3 linked regions of the Bombyx mori genome follow. The protein of the gene in region 2 purifies or fractionates together with the protein of the main gene of each other region. This does not show direct contact. Links are inferred from orthologs where the notes say so. Each region holds a gene or a part of one and is shown on either strand. Other genes may lie near its edges.

Region 1 (4,248 bases), on a different chromosome or scaffold from region 2:
AACTGTGAGTTCAGAGACGCAGCTCGCAAGCGGGCCACGGATCGGAAAGCACGTCCGCGCACGACCGAGTCGTGAGCGAGAATGAGAATGTCCATTTCGTATACGACTTGTAGGATGCTTAGGTCAATTTTAATAATAAAAGTAGCACAAAATTGAGAATACTGGCTGGTGTCCTGAATGATTTGAGAATCAGATAAACTGCAATTTAAGGACGTCGATAGAATCTTCTGTTTAGCATATTCTCATAGTTTTCAAATTCAGAAATAAAAAACATTTGTAACATGAAACAATTTATTAGCATTACATTATAAATAATAAATTATACTTCAAAACAGTACATTATTGTAGACTATTCACGCGTGCAAAGCTAAAATGTCCAAACATAACCATATTTTTAATTTATCACATCTTCAATTAGTAACAAATCTTTTAGTTGTATATTTAGATTATAATAATCTTTATCAGATCAATCATGTGCTGATAATATCAGTGACAAGGCCTGCTGCTATGGTGACACCTGCGACGCGTAACATAACACGACCAAGCTCCTTAACATCTTTATATCTCTCGATGCATATGGGCCTGCTGGTCTCAATTTCAACAACTGCCACAGAATTATTTCCTAAGCAACGAGGTTTCTTTTTAATTAGCTCACCGGTACTTTTGCTGAGTAATGCCTTAAGCTTGACAATATTAGCAGATTCTACCAATGATTGATAGTGAACAAGCACCGGAAAGCCTTTTGTTATTGGTACTTTAACATTGAAAACTACTATTCGGGCCTCGAAACGTGTTGTAACAGAAACCTGCTCAATAGGATCGCTGAGTATGTATCCAACTGACACATTCTGCATGTCCACCCCAGACAAAGTCAATGTGACTTGGTCTCCAGCAAATGCTACATTATTAGTAAGATCATTTATACTTAAACTTCTAACTTCAGCCATTTCTTTTGTTGGACAAACCAATACTTTATCGCCCTTCTTTAGAACTCCGTTTTCAATGCGTCCCGAAACACAAAATCCAGAACCGGTACCTTTGAACACATCATTGATTGAAATACGTAATGGCTTAGACACAGGCCTCTCTGGAACATTGAATTTGTCAATCACATCTAAAAGACAGGGTCCTTTGTACCATTTAGTTAATTCAGGTTCGCTTGCTGGTTTCACAAGATTCTCACCAATGAGTCCTGAACAAGGCACATAGGTGACATCTGTATCTTTGAATCCTGCTTGTTTCAAAAAAACCTTAAGTTTATTGGTGATTTCATTAAATCTGTCTTGAGACCAGTTGGCTGTATCCAGTTTGTTAATGGCAACAGCCAGCTGACTTACACCAAGTGACCTCACTAGTAATGCATGTTCTCTTGTTTGACCACCGAAATCAAATCCGGATTCAAACTCTCCCCTAGTTGCATCAACTACCAACATAGCAACATCAGCTTGACCAGCACCAGTTATCATATTAGGGATAAAATCAGCATGCCCCGGTGCATCTAATATTATAACCCTCTTTGTCTTTGTTTCAATCTGGGCACGCCCAATATCCATAGTGATTCCTCGGACTCTTTCCTCTCCTGTTTCATCAAGCACCCAGGCATACATAAAGCTTTGCTTTCCAATCTTTTTACTCTCCTGTTCATATTTGTGCAAAGTTTTTTGACTGACTTCTCCGAGCTCACATAATAATCTGCCCATTAATGTAGATTTTCCTGCATCAACATGACCTATCACGACAATGTACAAATGATCTTTGTCAGAACCTCTCTCATTGGCATATTGTTTTTTTGCATCAATTTTGTTCTCTTTTACTTTTAAATTTTTCATGTCATCATTTTGTTCAGTCTTGCTTTTTTCTGGGTGAGGAGACTGCCCTCTAGGTGTCTGAGGGCGACTATTAGGCTTTGGCTCTTGGTCCACTTTAAAACCCTTGATTACAGCACTCTTCTGATCTACACTTGTAGCTATAACTTTAGGAGCTACTAATGCTGTTGTGGTTTTCACTGTATTAGTAATAACAGGCTTAACTGGTTTAGATGTGGATGAATCTTTATTTTTACTCTTATCACTATTAAGTATATCGTCTAAAGCTTTGTTGTAATCAAAATTATGTTTAAGCACACTCTGAATCATTGTATTTTCCGATACTGTATCACCTAAAATATTCCGAAGTTCATCTAAGCAAGACATGAGCCTGGTTTCACCTTCCGCGTCAAGCTTGAGGCTGCAGAGGTCGGTAGACTCTCTTCGTTGTGGGCCCGGTACTTGAACATCTTGAACTTCATCTTCGGCTTCCTCCTGGATATTGCTGTGTCTATCGAGAAGGTTAGATATCACCTGTTGGTTTCGTGATCGGTCGTAGATCCATTGCGACGCATCACTTGGAGATAAACAACTATCCTCTTCCACTGAATGTCCATAAAAATCATCGTCATCATAGTCATCAGAGTAACTTCTGTTCCGAATGTTACGATGTCGAGCCATTGTTCATTAATAATATCAAAAGTGTTCCTATGTTACAGAAACCATATTTGCAATAAATGGATGTTTTTCGGAAAAACTCGCAAAATAAATAACACGTTTCGTTTTGGGTTAGTGACAGCAATGACAGCAGCTTTTTTGACATTAGTCGTTTTACTTTTTCGATACAGAAAAGGCGAAAATATCACACCGAATCCAGTGGAATCTTTTGTGTGATTATTCTACCCGATGATATGCAGGCGAAGTAAAATGTTCCTTAGAAATAAGGTGACACTCTACAAAACTTGCATACGCCCCGTCATGACCTATGCAAGTGTAGTGTTCGCTCACGCGGCCCGCACTCACTTAAAATCATTCCAAATCATTCAATCCCGTTTTTGCAGGATAGCCGTCGGAGCCCCGTGGTTCGGCAGGAACGTCGACCTCCATGACGACCTGGACTTAGAGTCCATCAGTAAGTATCTGCAGTCGGCGTCGATGCACCACTTCGATAAAGCGGCACGACACGAGAACCCTCTCATCGTGGCCGCCGGTAACTACATTCCCGATCCTGCGGAAAGAATGGAAAGCAGTCGACATCGCCCAAAACACGTCATCTCGGATCCTCCCGATCCACTAACGGTGCTTTTAGGTACTTCAAGCACCGGTCACCGTTCTCGTCGAACCCGTCGCTTGCGACGAAGGGCTCGACGAGTAAATTAACCCTCAGACACAGCCCACTGAGTTTCTTGCCGAATCTTCACAGTGGGTCGCGTTTCCGATCTGGTGGTAGATTCTGCGAAGCACGGCTCTTGCTAGGGCTCGTGTTAGCAACGTCACAGGTTAGAGCCCCGCGAGCTCACTTACTCGTCAAGTTACGCAAGAATAACGTTCTAAGGTACCAGCATAGGTAGGAAAAAAAAGAACGCATTGAAGTCATGTCAATATCACCAATTTGAGGAAGCTCGAAATCCCAATTCTCCGGACGCGGTCATAAAATAATATCTCGACAGATCCTCTGGTCTCCATAATTTTATCTATGAATTGCCAAGTAAATATAAATTAATGTAAATGAGGTTCATTCGTGAAGCAGTTGCCTTTGAGTTGTTAGTTTTCTCCGGAGGCCCTCAGGAGGCTGTTAGCAATTACCGTCGCTCCTGGCTGAGCCGGTGCTCGCTTGTGAAACTGGAAATGCCACCAGGACACCAGTAATCCTTTCTCTCAATTTTTTTTCCATTATGAATGTGAAAATATTTAAAATGCTTCAAATGCTAAATACTGCTTAACAGTGCTTAACAGAGTTGCGTTTCTCTATTGTTTCAGTAAAGATTAGCATCACCCATCTCTTGCAAATTAAACATTAAAAGCACGTGATACGTTAACTCAGCTCGTTGTTTCAAAACTAAACGTCGGTTTTTCAATCATTAATTGTACATATATCAAGTAAAAATACTATCCCACCTGTATTGTTGATTTTTAGTAATTCCACAATATAGCATCACCCATCTCTTGCAAATTAAACATCAAAAGCACGTGATACGTTAACTTAGCTCGTTGTTTCAAAACTAAACGTCGGTTTTTCAATCATTAATTGTACATATATGAAGTAAAAATACTATCCCACCTGTATTGTTGATTTTTAGTAATTCCACAATATCTAAATGGTGCTGGCGTTTTATTACACAGTCATTAATTATTTGGACCTTTCGATGGAAACGTGAGATGGAAAGTAGTGTGAATATTTTTATTTTGTTAATTTAATGTATCTAAAAATTTAAATATGTAT
Region 2 (3,996 bases):
CTGCTAAGTCCTTGTTGTAAGAAAAAAATGAAAATACCCTTCTCGGGAAGAAATATCGGGCGAGTTTGAATAGCTAATACAAGATTTTCGTAATGACTGTTCCAGTAAACACATAACATAGCTCCCTTCAATAAAATCAGGCTTCCTGGTGGAAGTTAATAACTCGTAGAGTGCTAGTAAAGCTTTTCTGCAGAACGCTACTTCTCCTGTGTTTGTTCTTGTTAAGTTGAGTCATTTATTTAAACTAGTACACTATTATGATTGTATTTTATACTTCTTTACAAATTTCGCCAAGACTACACTTTAAAAAATATTAACAAAGACAAACAATATTTAATCTATTCTCAATTTGACAACAAAAAGAACAAAAGTTTAACAATAAATAATATGCATGCGTGTGTGCGTCAAATACATGGTATGTAGTGTGTGTAATGTTTTCTTTATTGATTTAATGTATCTTTTATGCATTATTTTAAAAAAGATTAGCATTGTGCACTTCTTCTCTATATTCTCTATAAGTGTGGAAAACTTCATACTCCTCCTTCCGCGCAATTTTCGTAAAAAGGGATACACAGTTTTTGCTTCACGTATTAATATATAGATCTCGAAGATAGAGATTTTTTTTCAAAAAACTTAAAATATTGAGCACACTGAAAAAAGTACTAAATTGGGATAATGATTCAGTTTTTAAAGATGAAAGATTATGATGAGTTGGAACCTACTCTTGCCGATAAGGGCGTTGTGTCAACTCAACTTTAAAAAACTCAGACTAAGGACAATGTACCTAAATAGATAATTATGTACTCCTATTTTGGACTTTTTGGCGGGAACGCGAGTAGCAAAGTTGTGAGAATAGTTTTATTTTGTTAATTTAATGTTTCTTCATGTTTAAACATGTACTAATGGATGTTTATGAACTGTTTAGTATCTGGGAAAGTGCATAAATTTAGGTAAATAAAACAAAGTCACCGGACGTTGATCCTCGGGATCTTCCAAACAGTCCACTGAAATAGTCTTAATAAGTCTTAGTTTTAATTTAATTCCAATTAATTAATGTTTGAAATTAATCAACCTAATTTCATTTCATTTTCATATCGTCTTCATAAAATAGAATTTACAAAAGATTAGGCTGTATGTTTCAATAGCTTTGCCCTTCTGGTTGTAAAAAACAAACGAATACTACTGTCAATGTCATTCTCACATGTTTTCTCAATGAAGTAGGAAACCTATATAGGTATATATACTATATAGGTCTATGTGTTTTCTATATTTTTCTTGTTATTAAAATAAATAAAGATCATCTTTGAATTTTAGAAAATCAGAAACCCAATTAGCAATCAAGTTTCATTGTACTACTTCAAGATATATTTAAACATTTGAACGAATTAAATATGGTGACTGATATGAAGGATGTACAGGATTTTAAATTAAAACCTATGAAATGTGAATTCAACTTCCTGAGCAAATCTGATGGATCAGCTATTTTATCACAAGGTAAAAACAGTTTTATGCCCTATAATCTAGCTGTGGTCATTTTACCGAAACTCTTAATTTAGGTACAACATGTTAAATAATAATTTAGTATTTTTACAAAAAATAAGTAGAACAGTAAGATTTTACGAACATTCAAAGTTCATCGTCTTAAAAAGTACAACAATGTTAATTAAAACTTCTTGGACAGAAAATCGTTCATCAAAGCTTGTAAATATTTTTACAGGGGATACTGTATCATTGGTGAGCGTAAATGGACCTTTAGATATAAAGATGACCAGTCAACGAATAGATAAGTCAACTCTTGAGGTTTTGTTCAGTAATAAGAATGGGAAACCGAGCGTGGAAAACAGGTAATGTATTAGAGCTATATGGCTATTGGAAATTAATTTAATAACAATATTTGCTTGTCAGTGGTCATTTGTATAATAATAGATGAAATCCACCGTTCGGTTTTGGAATGAACTACCCTCTGTGGTGTTTCCCAAGCGTTATGACATGTCCTTCTTCAAACGAGGCTTCTTTGAGAGTACATAATGGCATGTAGCTGCTTGGCTTTGCCCCTAACATTGACGTTGGCGTGAGCGAATGTAACCACTTACCATTAGGAGGGTCATATGTCTACAAAAAACATAAATTTGGTTGTCATTAATGAATGTATTGTTTAAACATTACTAGATACAACAGAGTTCAATATGGCAGATACACAACTTATTGATATTCTTGCTTGATCTTCTAAGTGAGTCACTTTTCTGACATGGTAGATTCAGCAAAGCACTGCGACTCTGTTAGGGTAGACATTAACAAAGTGATTGAGGTTGATCCCCATAAGTCTTCCACCAGTCTCTGTTGATGCTTCATGAAAGGTTTCTCAAAGAAACATCTGTAAGTGATGTTAAATTGTGGAATATTTTCAAGAAATAGGTGTTACAGTCGATTGTTGAATTGTAATCATATTACATGTTATTACAGATACAAAGAGAATATAGTGAAACAGACATGTGAAGCAGCAATACTTGGTTCTCTGTATCCTAGAACTGGTATAAATGTTACTATACAGGAACTAGAAGATTATGGTGGTGTGAGTACTGATTTGTATTTAACGAGGGTGAATTGGAATTGTTCCTAAAAATGAAGATTGGTGGTATTGGAAGTACTGGTGATTAATGATCTATCTGCTTCTAGCATGGAGCAGTTATGATCTGCCTATTGCTTTTAAGTGGGGGTAGTTCTTCACTCTCAAGCTTTCTACACATGCTTCAGGCTTGTAAACAAAAATAATGAAAAAAAAAAACGAAAATTGTTTTAATTGATATAGATAATGTTTTCTGTTAATTTCACAGATCATTTGATGAGCTCAACCGATGTAAAGTGGTTACCAGATTTCAATATGCTACATATTTAATAGTGGCCAAATTATTTTTATTATTAAATGTCAATGTATTATTAAATTGTGAATTTATTATTAACTAGCTGACCCGGCAGACTTCGTAGTGCCTCAATCGATAAATAAAAGACCTAAACTTTTGTATAAAATAAACTTAAAACAAACAAAAGGAATCCGTCCGACGCGGGACACAACAAAGGAAAAACAAAATTGTTATTTTTATTTAGTTCCGAGCATTTTCATATTTATTTACCTTTCAAACCTTCTCTGGACTTCCACGAATCATTCAAGACCAAAATTAGCCAAATCGGTCCAGCCGTTATCGAGCTTTAGCGAGACTAACGAACAGCAATTCATTTATATATGTACTAGCTTTTGCCCGCGACTTCGTCCGCGTGGAATAGTTCACGAATAATACAGGGTGGCCCATAAGTCCTTTGATATGAAAAAAAAATTATTAAAATAAAACTAATTACATTATGAATTAAATTTTTATTTACATAAAAAGCTTAAAAAACGGGAATTATTTTTTGAAAATAACATCTCCTAAATGTAATCCGTTGCGAACACGGCACTCTTGCAAACGACGTCTAAAATTGTCGATGACTGCGCGGCACGTCACTGCTGAAATGCTTGTCATTTCTCTGCGGATGTTTTCTTTTAGGGCCTCAATCGACCGCGGGTTTGTGTCGTATACTTTAGCCTTAAGGTAGCCCCACAAAAAAAAATCCATCGGGGTCAGATCTCGACTACGTGGAGGCCAGGAAATGTCTCCTCTCTTAGAGATAACTTTGCCAGGAAAAAGTTGACGGATAACGGGCATAGCAGTGTTAGAGGTGTGAGAAGTGGCCCCATCCTGTTGAAACCACGTCCTGGCATGTAAATCTTTCTTCAAAATCCGTTGTAACGATGTCCTGGATACGTTTAATGCTCTGGCGCGCTTACGAGTTGACTGTGTCGGATTTTCGCGAATAGACTGTGTCACTGTGTCTATGTTTTGTTCCGTACGTGACGTCCTTGGGCGACCCAACCGCGGTTTATCTAACGTCGAACCGGTCTCCTCGAACTTAGCAACCCAGTTCTTAATCGTTTGAAGAGTTGGAGTGTCGTCAAAGTTG
Region 3 (2,904 bases), on a different chromosome or scaffold from region 2:
TGTAGAAAAAAATATATGAAATTCTTTGGAGTTTGATTTTTCAATTTCTAGTTAAACAGACAGCTCAGTAGAATTCATGCAATGGTTTAAATTTTCATTATTTCGACGCCTTTACAGATCAATGTCTTCACTCACTGTCCTCATACATGAAACTTATTAGTCTCATGAGATAAGTTAAAAAATATATTTAAAGAGCAGTGGAATTTTTTTTCACTCTTTTTGACCTCAAACTAGGATTCTCTATATTAACTAGTGATTTATGTAATTTTTTTATCACTAAGATGGGTGGTCGAGCTCACTGATGTTAAGTGGTCACTGGAGCCCATAAACACCAAAAGCATGAATGCTGTTACCTACCTTGACAAAGTCAAAAGTTCTAAGTCTCAGGTTTTACAGAACAATGGCTGCCCTACCCTACATGGGAGAAATCAGCTGAGAGGCAATAGCTACCCATAGAGGCTTGCAAGATGCCTTACCACCAGTAATTGTACAAATTATAGTTTCGATTTGTATTAGACTAAGTTATTCCTTCACCATGGAAGTGCAAATCACTCATCAACATTTGTTCAGTATGTATTTCATTACAAAAATTGTTAGGATTCAAATACCAGCACAGTCACACTACTCAATTTGAATGCACAAGGCGTCTTATCCTTTAGTATTAGACTTCATTGGTACCTATTGAATTCATTGCATTTTAAGAATTTTGGAAAAAAGAGATATATGTATGTGTATCTCTTCTTTCATAACCAACCAGCCACTATAAATTATTGAATAGGTGAAATCGTCTCTTTCGCTATTTTATTAATACAGTACCTATAATAGTATCACACAATTGTGGATATTTGACATTATACTATAAAACAGACTTAGAACTCATGTGGCAAGGTGGATGCTTTGAGCTCTAGTAACCATTTAAATCCATACTGAGTCATGAGCTCTTCCAGTTATCTAGGCAATGAAAATATGAATAACAATAAGAAACATCACATGATCTTCATTAAGACACCACAACTGATTCAAAACTACTAATTTCGTAAATCTTAACTGACCCTGACTGAGAATTTTAAAAAGAGCCCTTAGTCACCAATCAATCATGTAGGTGTAACATATAAAATTCAACAATTTTCCTTAAAAATACCAAAATAGTTAAAAATTACAGATAATTAATTCTTTCAACGAATTACTCTTCGTTATCTGAAAATTTTATTCGTTTGTTTAGTTGTTTCACGGGAGCCCTCTGATGGTCGTACAGACCATTCCGTACTAAACGTTTCGCCACTTCAACGTTAACGGTGGGTCTTTTCTGGCGATCCTTCACTTCCTGCCACTTTAACATTGTAGCTTTTATTCTGAGCAGTTCATCTTTGATGGGATGTTTTGTGGGATCGATGCCTTTTGTTCGTAAATGTATCCAATGTAGTGAATTTAAAGTGTATACAAAAAACAAATCTAGTTCAATCTGAGCTGGTAGTGACATTTTGTCGTAATTTTTCTTCAACGGAAGGAGTTTATCGAGTACTTGTTGTACTTCTATTAAATTCTCTTTCAAATTTTCAACATTGTTCACGAAATCTTTGTCTTTGGCGAGTTCGCCGTATTTAAAGTCCCAATTAAGTTCTTGGCACATTTTACGTTTTAATTATAAACTGTTTTTTCTTTTCTTTAATAATAATTAACCTAACATAAAAATTAATATAGAACGGCATGAACATACGTCACTTGCGTGTGGCCAGGATTTTTTTAAGGGATTTTATGACCTGGTAACTAAAACTTTTAAGTCATGTCTTATTTTAATTTATTTTATTTTTAAATTATGAAAAATGATAAATAGGAGTGAATTGTATTGAAGACATTGATGTATTAAAAAACCCAAGATACAAACTCAGCGTCTCAAAAACGTCCACATAAAATGAGTCATTTCAAATAGTCTCGCGTCGCACGCGTCTCTGGCCGTTTTCCAATTACAGCACAAGAGCGCATTATGCGGCATAATGCTCAACTAAGCTTCAGCATAATTCGGCATTGTGCTTCACTGAGTCGCATTATGCTCTGTAATTAACCATTACTTAATGGTAGTTTTCCAATTATGCTGAAGGTTAGTTGAGCATTATGCCGCATAATGCGCTCTTGTGCTGTAATTGGAGAACGGCCTGTGTGCGCTCGTCAAAATTGCCGAAGTATTCGTTGAGAAATTGTAAAAATATTACGTTAAGAACGTTAAAAAAGGACGGGATATCGTATATTCGGTAAGTAAAAGAGTTTGTTAATTTGTTTTTGTTGTTTTTATGACTAAATATAGGAAGTATTAGGTGATTTTGATTTAATTTTTCTAAGAACTTCACTCAACGGTTCAAGTATAATACGTCAAATCTCAATAGCCACTTTTTCAGTGTAAGAACTACTATTACAATGCCTTTTATTTTAGTCGCATAATCCGAACGATCTAAAGGAAGTGTTTGGAACCTCTGGGTCTGCGGAGGGACTTCGGTTCCCTCTGTATTTTGTACTGCATGTTCCATGGGGAGTGCTCTGAGGAATTGTTCGAGATGATACCAACGTCTCGTTTTTACCATCGCACCGCCCGGAGTAGAGTTCATCCATAATACCTGGAGCCACTGCGGTCATCCACAGTGCGTTTCCAGAGGTCTTTTTTGCCACGTACCATTCGGCTATGGAATGAGCTCCCCTCCACGGTATTTCCCGAGCGCTATGACATGTCCTTCTTCAAACGAGTGGAGAGTATTAAGCAGTAAGCAGCGACTTGCCTCTGCCCCTGGCATTGCTGAAGTCCATGGGTGACAGTAACCACTCACCATCAGGTGGGCCGTATGCTCGTCTGTCTACAAGGGCAATAAAAGAAATCTTGTTCTTATTCAATGGAGTCGATTTTTTTTATTGTGT

The links.
Region 1: the proteins of exosome complex component RRP46 (region 2) and protein HBS1 purify together in Homo sapiens (affinity purification with mass spectrometry; 3 studies listed by BioGRID and IntAct, with this or other methods). This does not show direct contact. The link is inferred for Bombyx mori from reciprocal best matches to the Homo sapiens genes EXOSC5 and HBS1L.
Region 3: the proteins of exosome complex component RRP46 (region 2) and nuclear nucleic acid-binding protein C1D purify together in Homo sapiens (affinity purification with mass spectrometry; 4 studies listed by BioGRID and IntAct, counting the BioPlex papers as one, with this or other methods). This does not show direct contact. The link is inferred for Bombyx mori from reciprocal best matches to the Homo sapiens genes EXOSC5 and C1D.

Annotation. Positions count from the first base shown.
Region 1 is NC_085121.1:12,890,183-12,894,430, reverse strand, and holds protein HBS1, read right to left. Parts: upstream 2,801-4,248; 5' UTR 2,487-2,800; coding exon 471-2,486; 3' UTR 274-470; downstream 1-273. UniProt on the Homo sapiens protein: GTPase component of the Pelota-HBS1L complex, a complex that recognizes stalled ribosomes and triggers the No-Go Decay (NGD) pathway.
Region 2 is NC_085131.1:1,264,168-1,268,163, forward strand, and holds the start of exosome complex component RRP46, read left to right. Parts: upstream 1-1,196; 5' UTR 1,197-1,234; intron 1,235-1,240; exon of another isoform or gene 1,241-1,314; 5' UTR 1,315-1,391; coding exon 1,392-1,494; intron 1,495-1,717; coding exon 1,718-1,844; intron 1,845-2,463; coding exon 2,464-2,572; intron 2,573-3,996. UniProt on the Homo sapiens protein: Non-catalytic component of the RNA exosome complex which has 3'->5' exoribonuclease activity and participates in a multitude of cellular RNA processing and degradation events.
Region 3 is NC_085124.1:3,151,116-3,154,019, reverse strand, and holds nuclear nucleic acid-binding protein C1D, read right to left. Parts: upstream 1,736-2,904; 5' UTR 1,631-1,735; coding exon 1,184-1,630; 3' UTR 501-1,183; downstream 1-500. UniProt on the Homo sapiens protein: Plays a role in the recruitment of the RNA exosome complex to pre-rRNA to mediate the 3'-5' end processing of the 5.8S rRNA; this function may include MPHOSPH6.